Linked DNA regions of Lytechinus pictus. The protein of the gene in region 2 interacts with the protein of the main gene of each other region in a biochemical or structural test. Links are inferred from orthologs where the notes say so. Each region holds a gene or a part of one and is shown on either strand. Other genes may lie near its edges.

Evidence for each region.
Region 1: the proteins of DNA polymerase iota-like (region 2) and DNA polymerase eta-like interact in far-western blotting, tested with the Homo sapiens proteins (2 studies listed by BioGRID). The link is inferred for Lytechinus pictus from reciprocal best matches to the Homo sapiens genes POLI and POLH.

What each region holds. Positions count from the first base shown.
Region 1 is NC_087251.1:39,639,624-39,646,960, reverse strand, and holds the start of DNA polymerase eta-like, read left to right. Parts: upstream 1-4,303; 5' UTR 4,304-4,360; coding exon 4,361-4,485; intron 4,486-6,418; coding exon 6,419-6,553; intron 6,554-7,234; coding exon 7,235-7,337. UniProt on the Homo sapiens protein: DNA polymerase specifically involved in the DNA repair by translesion synthesis (TLS). Due to low processivity on both damaged and normal DNA, cooperates with the heterotetrameric (REV3L, REV7, POLD2 and POLD3) POLZ complex for complete bypass of DNA lesions.
Region 2 is NC_087249.1:20,891,748-20,898,735, forward strand, and holds the start of DNA polymerase iota-like, read left to right. Parts: upstream 1-3,947; 5' UTR 3,948-4,314; coding exon 4,315-4,329; intron 4,330-5,784; coding exon 5,785-5,944; intron 5,945-6,988. Other genes in the region: stomatin-like protein stl-1, read right to left, coding at 393-525, 1,076-1,134, 1,412-1,511, 2,600-2,737, 3,744-3,800. UniProt on the Homo sapiens protein: Error-prone DNA polymerase specifically involved in DNA repair. Plays an important role in translesion synthesis, where the normal high-fidelity DNA polymerases cannot proceed and DNA synthesis stalls. Favors Hoogsteen base-pairing in the active site.

The DNA of each region.
Region 1 (7,337 bases), on a different chromosome or scaffold from region 2:
TTTAATGGGAATTAACGAATTATTAAAAAAAGTCTGTACGCTAGTGTTATTGGAGGAAGCGATATGGGGTTTAACTTTAATATCTAACATGGCTGGCTTGCATGTCTTCATTACTGATGCAAGAAATAGGATGTGGTTGGCGACTGGGGCGATGGGGGGCTGGGGTTATTAAAGCACTTTCCTCTGCTCTTCAAAGCCCCCCAAATAAATAAGAATAAATGTCTTACATAAATAAATGAATAAAAAGTGGGAAAATAAAGACCTGATAAGTCCAAAAGCAAAGGAAACTCTCATTCACACCTCATTGAGACCTCATTGATACACACACACTCTATTCAAGTACACAACCGCCCCCCCCCCAAAAAAAAAAAGGGGGGAGGGGTATTTTACCTCCTTGAGTGGATAATACTGATACCTTTCAGATATAGTAGAAAAAACTCCTCAAGAATAATGAAAAAGTGTATCTAATACAGCCCCCTAAAATTATGATGTAGACCTAACAGACGCTGATCCAGTGTTGGGGGAGGGGGGCTCTGAATGGGAGGGAAAAAGAGAGACGAATTTACCTTAAATATTGGTGAAAACCGTTTTTTCCCCTTTTTTTTTTTTTTTTTTGCTTATTGATTTTTTTGGCGGACGGATTATTGACCTTAAATTTAGGTGACAACTTTTTTTTTTTACTTGTCAAATTTCCAACGGGTAAAAGGTTTCACCTCTTTTTAAAAATCCTAGATCCTGTAGTACCACCCCATAAAATTTTAACTCTGGACTCCGCGCCTGGCTAATATAAAAGTAGCCTAGCTAAAAATAACAATATAAATATTTGTAATATTAAAAGTTGTATGATGACGGTAATAACGATAGTTAATGATATTAATAATATTGAATATAATTATGATAATAATAATATAAAAAATTTGATAATAATAATAAATTAACAATAAACTGGTGCATATCCAGTATTTTGCACCACGTGGGCTCACCAATCTGCATGCGCGAATCTGAACCAGTGGTGCGAACAACGTAGCTCACGTGCAAAAAAAATCCTTCTGGTACGAAGCTGAATTATAGGCCTACCTTTATTTCTAAATCATTTTTAAATAGAATTATAGAAATCATAATTTCTAAGATAATATTGAAATTACATTAAAAATTACACGAAGATATATTTTGAAACATTTATCAAAATAAATAATTACAATTACTACCTTAGAAAGATTTGATAAATGTGGAACCAAACGGCGGCTCTCCTATCGTTTCGGCCAAAATTTGAACCAGTCATTTGGATCTGGCGGGCCCGATCGACTATATCCGTTTTGTTTTGGCGGTACTAATGAACTAGCCGTTTTGGACCGCCGGTACCCGGTTCAATTCGCCTATGACACCGGCCATCGAAAAAGGATTTTATTTATTTGATGTTGGGCATAAACCATAAAGTAGGCTAGAGAATTAGATTTATTTGCCCCTCTGCATTTTCTTAGAACTTGTCCTCATCATTATCAATATACAGTAGTTCCTATGCATGCTTTGATTCAGACGTGTGATGGGGTTGATGGGGGGGGGGGGGGGTACTTATGATTATTTTTTAAATCTATTTTTGGTGTTAACAAAATAGGGGTCTTGATTCTACAGTTGGATGTTGCCACTTTGCTTGTATCAAATATGGTTGATAAAGATTCCTGATCATCTTCTCATGGGCGGCGAAAAGCTAAAGATTTGAATAAGGGTCACTGAGGTGATCGAGCGTTAGGTAGGGGCTAAAAGTAGGGGCTAAAGCCCCCCCCCCCCCCGGATCTGCTGCCCCAGTGAGTTCCATATACAGCTGCAAGTGGCAGTTCAAAAGGGCCGGGAGCAGGTGGGATGGCTGAAAATCTTGATTTTTTTTTTTTTTTTTTTTTTTGGGGGGGGGAGACCGATAGAGAGTGTGTCCCATGTCATGCCTGGAATGTTTATTATTATTATTATTATTATCATAATTTCTTTGTGATTAAAAAAGGAATTATACATTGAGGTCATGTCAGTTTTCATATCGAAAACTTGTATGCAGTGTAACGGACATGTAAAAACATAGCAGACGACGTTTGCAGACCTCGCGATCATCGTATGACTGGTGGTGCGGAATGTTCCATTGCGGCTTTATGGGGGAAATAGCATTACAGCGGGATAAAATGTATACACAGATAATGTTTCAGCGTTGATTCGCAATATTTTGAGTCAATTTTTATGAATTATCGTTGTTTGAACATTTAAACATCATTATAAGATGAAAGAAATAAGCAAAACTTAATTTTCAGACTTAGCTATGCAGTATTAAGCTGGGATGCACCCCTCGTATAGATAATGGACCCGTCACGAGTGTAGGTTTGCTCTTCGGACATCACTATCACAAAGAAAATCTCCTCTGATTTGATGATAAAAGTGCCCTATTTCCTTATTAACCAATCTCCATGGTTCTTTCATGAGTATTTGCCTTACAATGTGCCCTTTATTGTAATCTGGGCGGAAATTCATGATACCACCACCCACCGATGTGACGACGGATATAATCCACCCGGGTACTATAAAAATGTCCCCCAAACCCATTATCCCAATACATATTCCTGACTATGGATGGTTTTTAGTGATTTTAATGTAATAAAGTGCCATATTTCCCACCAATTGAATGTTAAAAAAATTATGGTCATCTGATAGAAGAAGTTGTTACCATTCATTTCAGGGGGGCGGAAATTCTATCTGAATCAACGCTTGTCCTTGATATACATTTGTTTGTGAAAAAAGGGTATAATGCAAGGGAATTCTGCGTGTTATAAGGGTGCGCGCGTGCAGCGAGGACCTTCTGTCCGCTAGTTTTCCATATGAATGTGCGAAATGCATCAGTCTGTTTTAATTGCTCTCAATTCCCCTTTTTGTTGGCTTTTTTCTATAAATTAATTTATCATCTGTTTAATATGATGATGACAGCTTGCCTTTTGTTTTCTCTTTTTTTTTTGGGGGGGGGGGGATATTACGCTTCAGGAGAGATAGACGGCTACAGAATGAAATTCTGTTGTCCTTATTACTTTCTTTATTTTACTTACTTTCGTTCTGTTGATATTTTTGTTTGCTTGTTTCTATACATATTTTTTTCAATTACTTTTAGTATTTCACTAAGTAAGTTAAGTTTGTTTCGTTTTTGTTTTACATTTCCTTTAGTTTTAAGACTACCCCTTCCATCTTTTGCACGGCACAAGCCATTATAAGCAGTTTGTTTTGTCTTTGTTTTACTCTTCCTCTTTGTATTGCCCTTCCACTCAGTGTGGCCAGTGCAAAAAATCCAATTATGCTAGAGGAGCAGCGAAATTATGCTAAATCGCGAAAAAAAAAAAAAAAAAAAAAGGTTATCAACCTAAAATTTTAGGAGTGGATGCATGCATGTGAACGATTTTCCTCTCTGGCGCCGTTCATTAGTTAGTAGAAATGTGAAAATTGAAAAAAACCACATGTTGGGGGAAAAAAAAATCAAAATTATGCTAAATATGCTATTATTATGCCAGATTCTTTGCTTTAAAAAGTCTAATTATGCCAAAATTATGCCAGCATAATGAATTATGCTGAAAGGGTCGAAACTTATGCCAGAAAGCATAATTATGCCAGTTCTGGCAACGTTGCTTCCACTACCACACATTTATTTATTTTTCTTTCACACATACTCAGGAACAGGCCCGGGAACAGGTTGTGTATAGTTTCCCTTTGAAGAGTTCAACATTCTCCTTATTTTCTTTCGTCACACCCAGGATCAGTTTCAGCTTTTTATCGATGGGGGGGGGGGGATATTTTCATCAACATTTTCCAGTTGTGGCCGCCGAAATATGATTTTTTAAAGGGGTCAAAGCTAACTAAATTTTCATTTTTAGAAGCAACATAGGGTATTTCATGATGGCCTGAATATAAATTACCACGCGAGCTCAAATTTTTTGATATTTTATATATTTGCCCTGAAAATTGAACATTGTGAGCAGCTTTTGTAATCATAATTGGGGTATCTATCTAACTAAACGATCCGTGTTTCCTTGATTTTGTACTCTAATCCCGACTCTAATCGTGTAATAATTCTTGTAAATATTGTGATTTTCTTGATTAAAAAAAAAAAAAATTAGATCTATATAGAAAAAGAAAGAGTCTTTGGATAATTGAACAAGCAGTTCAATCAATGTGAATAATAAACAACAGCCCGGCAATAGCCCCCTTGCTATATCTGCCTGTGGCACCCCCCCCCCCCCCCCAGCCTCAGCTCCATCAAATCGAGAATTGACATGTTGATTGAATAACAACAAAACATCGACATGGCGCGGGTAATTCATTCGGGTCGAAAGCCGAAACAATGGATAGAGTCGTTATTTTGGTTGATATGGACTGTTTCTATGTCCAAGTAGAACAAAGATGCGATCCGAACCTGAAAGGAAAACCTGCTGCTGTTGTCCAGTATAATTCATGGAAGGGCGGAGCGTAAGAACCATATTTATTAGGCCTAACTTTAGGCACATATTTTCCTAAGAATTATGTAATGTATGTAGCCCCATGTACTGAGATCGACGTATCCTGGACGTCTGAGACTGAGCTAACCCAGAGAGCTCCAGCCCGCGTAGCGGGCTGGAGCCCAGACGCTCAGTGTGCAAACGGGCATTAAGGTGAGAGTACCGTGAAGTTTGGTCAAAATAATTTTGATAATACATAATTAAAACAGAAATTAAGCACTTACCACGATTGTATGGATGATAGTCTAACGAGTGGCAGTTTCCTGACATCGAGGCACAGACTGGAACCTCAAAAAACGATCAGTTCTGTCGCGGTGGCTCTCCTTCTTTCAAAATTCATAGCAAAATGGCCGTTCGAGAGGGTGTAGGGCGCATGCGCGAATTTGACAAAGTCTATATGCGCTAGTGCTATACTAGCCTCGGTCTCGATCGGCCATTTTGTGTTGAATTCTGAAAGAGGAGAGCTACCGCGACAGAACTGATCGTTTTTTGAGGTTCCAGTCTGTGCCTCGATGTCAGGAAACTGCCACTCGTTAGACTATCATCCATACAATCGTGGTAAGTGCTTAATTTCTGTTTTAATTATGTATTATCAAAATTATTTTGACCAAACTTCACGGTACTCTCACCTTAATGCCCGTTTGCACACTGAGCGTCTGGGCTCCAGCCCGCTACGCGGGCTGGAGCTCTCTGGGTTAAGACTGAGCAAGCAATTCGCAGTGCTTGGTTACTTAGGGAGTTCTGTGGCTTTTTGAAATCTTGAAGGAATCCCAACAAATTTGGTACTATTTGAAATCTTTTGTAATAAGAAAAAGAATGGTGCTTAAATCAACTCATGATGTCAAATATTGACAGAGATATTTCTGTTTAAAAGGGAGAATGTGCAGATTTTTTTTACAGCAAAAGTAGATTTTCATTACACAAAATGCAATGACTGGGACTATATAATCCTTTTTAAAGTGCAATGCACTGCTACGCGGGGCAAGGTATGTCCTTGAATTATACATAATTTTATTCTTTAAACTTCAAAGTTTCTCATGGTATAGGACTAGGCCCTATAGGTTTCTATAGGGTTTTCCTCCTAATGGCTTCATACTTGTTTTATTAGGGTGTCTGGAGAAAAAAATTGTTTTTCTTATTTCAAGAAAATATCACATTTTCTTTGTGAATTTGAAGAGAAATGACCTTCAGACTGACAGAAATGTAACATTTTTGAAAAAAATGCAATGATTGGCTGCAAAAAAGAAGAATGAAATTAGGTAAATTTTCAGCATTTCTCTGCCATACATGTAGACTGTGTAGTTAAGAAATGGACACACACAAATCCAAATTTTTAGCTTCCGAGAGCTGTTATAAATTTATTATTAATGCCAAAAACTTGTCCATAAAGAGTCCAATAGGATTTTTTATGCTCTATCTGATGGTATGATTTTTATAAAGATTTGGAAACCAGATCACAATGAAAAATTGCGACAAAGTGAAAAAAATTGTGCAAAACAGAAATGTCATTTTCCCATAGAAAACGCATGGAGAAATGGCAATCTCAACACACACAAAAATAAAGGTTTGCAATTTATCTCTAAATCCTTATTTAAAATGATCATATAAACTTGTCCTTACTGTCAAAAGAAGCCCCTGAATTTTCTCTTTCCATACATGCCAAACACAAGTTAATAATCAATTCAGATCACATTTTTCTAGTAGCCTGAACTTCCCCGAAAAAATGTGCCATATTTTCCCCTAAATTAGCCTGTTTTATGCTGACACTTTTCAGTGTGGCTTCAGACACCCTAGTTTTATACATGGGTGCGCAGACAGATACAAATTCTGAAAGTGGCATTTTAACCCTTTTACATAGAATATAGATATTTAAATCTTATCCATATAAAATCGTTTTATTCTAGAATAATTGCAGTGAGCTATGAAGCAAGGAAGTTTGGTGTAACCCGTCAGATGCGAGGTCGGGAAGCTCGACAAAAATGTCCAGACATCCAGCTTGTTACGGTACCTGAGAAAAGGGGAAAGGCTGATCTTACAAGGTAAGCCTTCATGATCACTGCAAGTCCTATCACTTGCTGGACCCCAGTGCTTCAAAATTCCAAAATGGTAAATTTGCCATCCAACAATTAAGTCCTTGATTGTGACTGGCTCGAGAGCATTGTTACCATGGAAGTTACCATTGGTTAGCTAAGTTACCATATTAGCAACTATTTTGCAACAGGGCATTGGACCAGTCAGTCATCTAACTCTTATGACAAAGGTTGACAGGAAGTTTTAAGAATACATCTAGATTCAACTTGTTTTCTATTCCTTTACACCCTTCCAAATACTTGTCAGAATACACCACATAATATTTGTGAGGCAAGCTGTCAAAACTTGTAGCCTCCTAGGATTTTGACCAAAGAGGGATTATATATTTATATCATCTGAAAGTCAAGTTAATTATTTCAGATATATATTATTTTGATTTTTTCTATATGATAACTATAATAGATCATTATTTTTATTCAATTTGATAAATAACTATCAGAACACCTGTTAAAAATGAATTGAAAATGAGATACCTGCAGGATACATTGTCCAAGGACTACACCATCTACATTAGAAGAAACGATAGAGTGTAAATATAAGAAGACATGCCTTTTTATGAATTGATCAAATCTGTTCTTACTGATCCTCTCACAAAACCCTATAATATACCTCAATTTTTCACTCTATAGATACAGAGAAGCAGGAGCAGAAGTAATAACAGTCCTGTGCAAGTACAGCGATAGCGTTGAGAGGGCCAGCGTGGACGAGGCCTACGTTGATGTCACAGACCAG
Region 2 (6,988 bases):
TCAAAAACAAGGAAAATGTCAGATTTGTTAAGTGTCAGTTGACAAGTGTCGATGAACGCATCCGTGATATCAAATATGCTGTTAAAATGGGCAAAATATTAGTAATCATCACATTTTGTGCCCTCTCATGCATAAGTGGGAGTCTCACTCGTTCAATACGTGTACAGGATCTCTTCTGGGAACATGTCTATTTACATATGTTACACAACATTCAATGATAATTTGCTACTGAAAAATCAAATTAAACAATTTGAATAACTTAAAACAGTATTATGAAGAGGGATTCTCAGGACAAATCAAATTGGCTCTTCTCAGTAGCTTACAAATGTAACAGTAGCAGGTGACGTGATAAATAATAAAAAGTGTTGTGTAAAGGGGTTCTCATGACTTACCCACTATATTGATGTTTAAAGATTCTCTTTCCTTAAAGACATGATCAAGAGATATTTTACCAATCTCTGATCTCATTGTTGTCTGTGCTAGCTGTGTGACGGCATACTCAGGATCCTCAACACCATAGCTGGCCTAGAATGACAAGTTTATTTTCAAGGAATTTTAAAAGAATAACACAATTCACAATACAATATCAATAAAATTACAATTTTATCAATGTCACTATTTATATTTCCGGACATTCATTTTATTTCTTAGTGTATAATACGCATTGTAGTAATGCTGTATTTTTGCAAAGCTGTGAAAAAAAAAAAAAGATTTAAATAGGGTGTGATTGATAATTTTGAGAGAGTGACTGTGAAATAAAAAATAATTTTGCAAGCACGCCATTAAAAAAAAAAGTTATCTGGAAAGAAATATAGCAAAAATCTGCGACACAGAAGCAAACTTGGGAAAAAGTCATATTTTGATAGAACGCCATGCTTACTTTCTTATACATGTACAAATAAGCACTAATTTCATTACATACTAACAGAATTAATTTTGTAATCATTAACACAACTGGAATTTATTTGTAATCTACAGTCACCATACAGATCAAGAGATCAAAATGACTTGTCAATACGTAAGTAAAATACCCCAATCTTTTAATCATCAATATTTTCAATAAGTAAGATATTACCTTGTACGCATCCATGACTCTTAGATACAGAACTCCATCTATCCTTAGTGTCACATTATCTTTATATAAAATAAAAGGGAAATAAATAAAATAGGATTAAGTGTTCGCTTTTTGAATAGCTATCAACGTTTCGCCCAGTTAATGATAAAAATCAGAAGTTCAATTATACACACTTTTTAAGTAGATTGTAAATTTGTTACAACTCCATGCAACTATAATCTTCAAGAACTCTTGTCTTGTTATTCTTATTTTGAAATCTTTGATCCTGAAAACATATATATCCAACCAAGTTGCCAATTATTGTATGATATAGTAAGATAAAACAATAAGTCTTACCATGAGTCACTGCACTTTGCTCTGGAATGTCAATAGCAATTTCTTTCAAACTCTGAACATACTTGATCTTGTCAAGCACTGGAATCAGTAGATTCAATCCCTGCAAAGAAAAACATTCTTAAAATGATTTCTTGTAAATAAATGTTGCCAGTGAACCATTCAGCAGCCAATAAATCACAATGGGAATTGCAGTTCAAAATATAGAGCTTGGGCCAAAAGTTTTAATAAAAAAAATTGATGTACTTCACTGATCAATCTATCACCTGACCAAACCCTTAGTGTCATCAGCAATGTGTTCTTGATTTAAAATAGCATTCTTTTTTAAATTTCACAATAGAATTATCCCAGGATATGAAGTACATACACATCTAACAACTTACTATAAAAATGTGTGCATAACTCCATAAGCTAATGCCTTAAAAACTTGTTTCTTCTCCTCTTCCTCTTACTCCTCCCATCAGCATATCCTCCTCTTCCCCTTCCCATTTCTCCACCTCTCTCAAACACCCAACTTCCTCCTTCTCTTTCGTTTTCTTCTTTTCCCGCCTCTCCTTGCATTATCTTCTCCTACCTAGCCAGGAGGCTTCTAGAGAGTAAAAATCATTTACTAACGTATGCTTACTCTCCACAAAGCCAGGAATTCCTACCTATTCATCTGCACGCACCAACCAAAAACCTGAAACTTTCGCCCCTAAGATTTCTACTTTCCTTCTAAAAGATCTAGCCCTAAATCATGTACATGGGATACAACTTCATTTCCGACATTTCTACGCTATCAATTTAATTTTTAAACAAGAATTCATCATGCGTCCGTCACGTTGGGGAAGAACAATAGGAAACAAGATGGCGGCGTAAACATCGGGCAAGTCTCTTCCGTCTTTTCGTATTTTTCTCATTTTTTTATGAATTCTTGTTTAAAAATTAAAGCGTAGAAATGTCGGAAATGAAGTTGTATCCCATGAACATGATTTAGGGCTAGATCTTTTAGAAGTAGAAATCTCGGGGGCGAAAGTTTCAGGTTTTTGGTTGGTGCGTGCAGATGAATAGGAAGGAATTCCTGGCTTCGTAAAGAGTAAGCATACATTAGTAAATGATTTTTACTCTCTAGACTAGAAGCCTCCTGGCTACTCCCACCCCCTCTCAATGTAATTATTTGGATACTAATACAAATAGGCAACAATAACTCACAGGTTGAAGAGTTTTGTAGAACCTGCCCATCCTCTCCACTACCCATGCTTCCTGCTGAGGTACAAACAGGATAACTGTGTTCACTGCACCACTTGAAACGCACCTTGCATGTTGGGTAATCACACACTGCTGAAGTCTCTGTCAATGAAAAAATTAATGTTAAGATTCAAATTTTCCACTTATGCCTAAGACATGTAAGACATAAAAATTTACACAGATTAATCTCATCTCTCACTAGAATTTAGAAATGAGGAATTAACTGAAATTAGAAATCCAACGTCAAGAATATCAAGTGACAACTTTTTTTCTCTTCAAATTTAATTGTCTTTAAAGATTTAACGTTACTTATAATTACAAAACATTCATCATGTTCATAAAATGATACGGGCCCTAGGCTAAAGGACAAAACCTGATGCAAGCATTAGCCATTGGGTTTGAAATTTGAGTCATTTTAGAATTAGTAGAGGTCTAACTTTTTACCGGTATTCACAGTTTACTTTAAGTTTAAGTTTCACCGAGCTAGTAAAAATTCTAAAATTGCGATTGTAAAATAAAAATTTGCGATGAAAATCATGAACCTCGCAAATAACTGTAAACTTTGCCAAAAACATTGCGGCAAAACAAAAGTTTGAAACAAAAATCGTGAAATTTACTACTATTTGCAAAGCTTGCAATGAAAATCGCGCACGGGGCGAGAGCCGATAGCTATAGTATACCCAGTTGTTGTGTGTCCGGACAGGTTGTGTGTCCGGACGATCAATTTTAGAAAGTCATTTGGAAAAAATTACAAGCGAAGTTTCATCAAATTTTAGTAAAAAAATTTAGAAAATATTATAGAGAACAAAATAGAAGATGATTACAACTATTGAATTCATATTTTTAGTGTAATCTTAAGACAAAAAAGAAGGCTTCAAAAATATAAAGTGTCCGGACACCCGATCCCCCATCCTATAGGAGTAGAGCTGTTTAGCAGCTACATGTAGCTAGCACTGGCCATCGCCACTAGCCTCAACGCCCCGGCTGCGCTGGGCGCTTGAACGGCACCCGGCCCAGCTCAGCAGGCAGATGACACAACACACGCTCGCTCCACAAGTCCACAACCATCGCTCAGGATTCATAAAAAATTGCAGTAATTTTACATTACCTGTGAAGTTCGTTGAAGAGCCCCGGTCCTCCTTATCATTGTCGTTATAGGTAACATCTTGAAATTGATATTTATGCAAGGATATTCACTTTGTCTTTAATAATAATATGATGAAATCTCAAAAATTCTTAATCTTACACAATACAAGACATAGTACATGCATGCCCATTCAATCATGTACGGTATGGTGGTTGTAATTGTACTAATGAGAAAGAAAATTTGACTTTGGTTTGATCCATTGGAATTAAATTTGCCAATCTTTTATCAATATTTTCATGAATACTGAACTCACCCTGAAGAAACTTACGCCAAAGGGCAATTTTATTTTTAGGTCGCTTTTCATGTTGCTGATTTCAGATTTTAAGGATATTGGCTAGTTTTTGAGATAATGACCTTCACGAAGTATGGACACACGCGAAGTTTGGTCTTTGGACTCACTGCCATACAGCTTTTTGCAAGATAGCATATTTCAGTAATAATAATGCGACATTTGCTCATGTGACAATTGACTTGTTAATTCTGTTAAAACTGGCTTTGGTCTTTGGACATGTTGGATTAATGCACTCATTCAATGACCTGGATATGGGTACGTTAGATCTACTAGTACTAGTTCGTTTTACGGAGGATGTTCAAATGCAATCACCTTTATTTTGTACTTGTAGTGACCACCTTTTTTTCTTTTTCTTTTTCTTTTAATTGCTTGTCAAATTTAAACTTCCGGTAGCACCTCCTCTAAAAAATCGTTCCCAGGAATGCAGATATTTTGATGGGGGGGGGGGGGGGAGTGGGCATGAAGAGTCACCAACAATGATTGAAGGTTATGTCATGTCTTTTCTTTCCTAAACAATTAACATTTGAAGTAAAAAAAAAAAGGCTTCTTTTTCATAACTTTCAAGTTTCAAATTTAAATTCAATTTGTAATCTTTGATTTCCAGTTTGCTCCAATTTTTATCTCACTTATTTCATACCCCTTTCATAAACCCAATAAAACCCAATTATGCTGCTAATAGCAGCATAATTTGGTCGTAAAATCCGAGGAGGACAAGAGTTATCCGCATTATTCTGATGCTGCTATTATCCGCATAATAGCGGCATCGGGACAAGATTTTGAGTTTATGAACATATTTCCAAATAATGCGGATAATTGCCATGGTGCGGTCACAAGGTCACCCTTTTCCAACACAACCGCATCGGAGGGCGCGTGTCCAGTTGTCATGACGATTATCCGCCTTTTTCAGGACGGGCGCTCGTAAAAATAATGCGGATAATTTTCGGAGTTTGTGAACGCAATTTTTATTGAATTATCCGCATTACTCTTAGGCGGCTAATTGATGGAGGATAGGTTTTATTGGGTTTATGAAAGGGGTATAAGATAAAACTTATGACTAAAACCAGTTTGGTTACAGTACTTGAAGTGACTTAATTCTTCCAGTTACATTTTACATTACAAGAAGTTTGAAAAGGAAATGAAAGTTATTCTACTGTATTAAGGGTTCTGGAGTCTAGATCTAAGAAATGAACTTAAATTGCTTGCACATTATTATGAGGAGGAGGGAAGGTTATTGAATTAAACTGATTCAAATCAGGTGAAAACAATTGCAGCAATTAAGATGGAGATTTCATTTGGATTCTGGTCCTGGTTCATTTTTACTTTAAATGTTACTTGTTGCAATATTCCTAAATTGCAACTTCTTGGAAATGAAGTCATTCATAACAAATATATTTTGTTAGCATGAATAATATTTCAATAAATTGCCAAATTTTTTGTGTAAAAAAAACATTGGTTCAAAATATTATAGAGTTGAAGACCATATTTACCTGTGTGATATCATTCACACTAACTAGTATGACATTTGGTATAAATAATGAACTTTCTCCCGTGATGATAGAAATCCTAATTTGAAAAAAAAATACTGGTAATTATCTGTATTCTCAAGACTCAATTATCTACAGCTATGTGGTCTATTATTGAATTGAATAATGGTAGAAAGACTGCCAGGGGCATTCCACCTGTTGCTATTTATTATCTCTCTTTTCCCAGTCACATAGATCAAATATGGAAGGGAGATGGGAAGAACAGGATGACACTGAAGATGAAGCACTCAATGAGGAAGATGACATTGATTGGAGGATGCCGTCAGATATTGGTTCACCCAGCACCAAAGCCTCTTCTTTGAAAACACAATTGTCATCTTTAACTGGTAATTAATCAACAGTAGCTTTTAAAGTACTACTTCCTAGTCATCAGATTTCATTTTTTCCTTAGGTATGGTTTTCAAATAAATAGAATTAGAAAATGTATTATCAAGTTGACCTCTTGTTATCACTTTACAAAATTACTATGAGACTATTAAAGTAAACGTATGCTTTAATGGCTCTGGGAGCAAAATTTCTGTGTTGCTCATATTCATCATGGACAATGAACTATCTTGTATATATTTATGATATTTTTTTTTATTATAGACAGACCAAGACAGTAATACCAAAATGACATTTATGTGTTGAGGTGTTTATAATGTTTTCTCACTTTTTGTAAAGGAGAAAACATTGGACCAAAAATCAGGTCCCCTGTGAGCTCTGCTCTAGAAGATCCATAAAAATAGAGGATTTTTCATAGGATTTAGGTAGCAACTTTCCTGGGAGAGTTGTCCTGTTGAGACTCATTTATATGAAAAGAGTCGATTTGCATAAAGTAGAAGAAAACAACTCTTAGAAAATTTCATCAAAATCGGATGTAAGATAAGAAATTTTACGATTCATTTTTCACTAAACAGTTATATACTCAACATAGTGATATTTATGAGAGAGTAAATGATGTCACCCACTCACTAATTATTATTTTATTATATGAATTATCTAATATTTAAGTTTTTGCAGATTTGACACTGAAGAAACTCTTTATCAAAGTACTTGTAATTTTAGGGGAAAATCAAACTTAGTTACAAAGGAGAAAAAAAGTTAAAATATTCATATTTTATACGATAAAATACAAAAGAAATAGTGAGTGGGTGATGTCATCAATTTCATCATTTGCTTAATGACCAGGATGTGTATATTACCTTTTTTTTAATTAAGCAATTTTTTTTAAATTTCATATCTCTTTTATCTTTAATACTGACATCCAATTTTTATGAAGATTGAGCAGAGGAAGTTTATTTTCTCTTATTATTCAAGTAAACTATTTGTTGAGGTGGACTTTCCCTGTAAATGAGCACTCTATAGATATAAGTTATTATTATTTCATT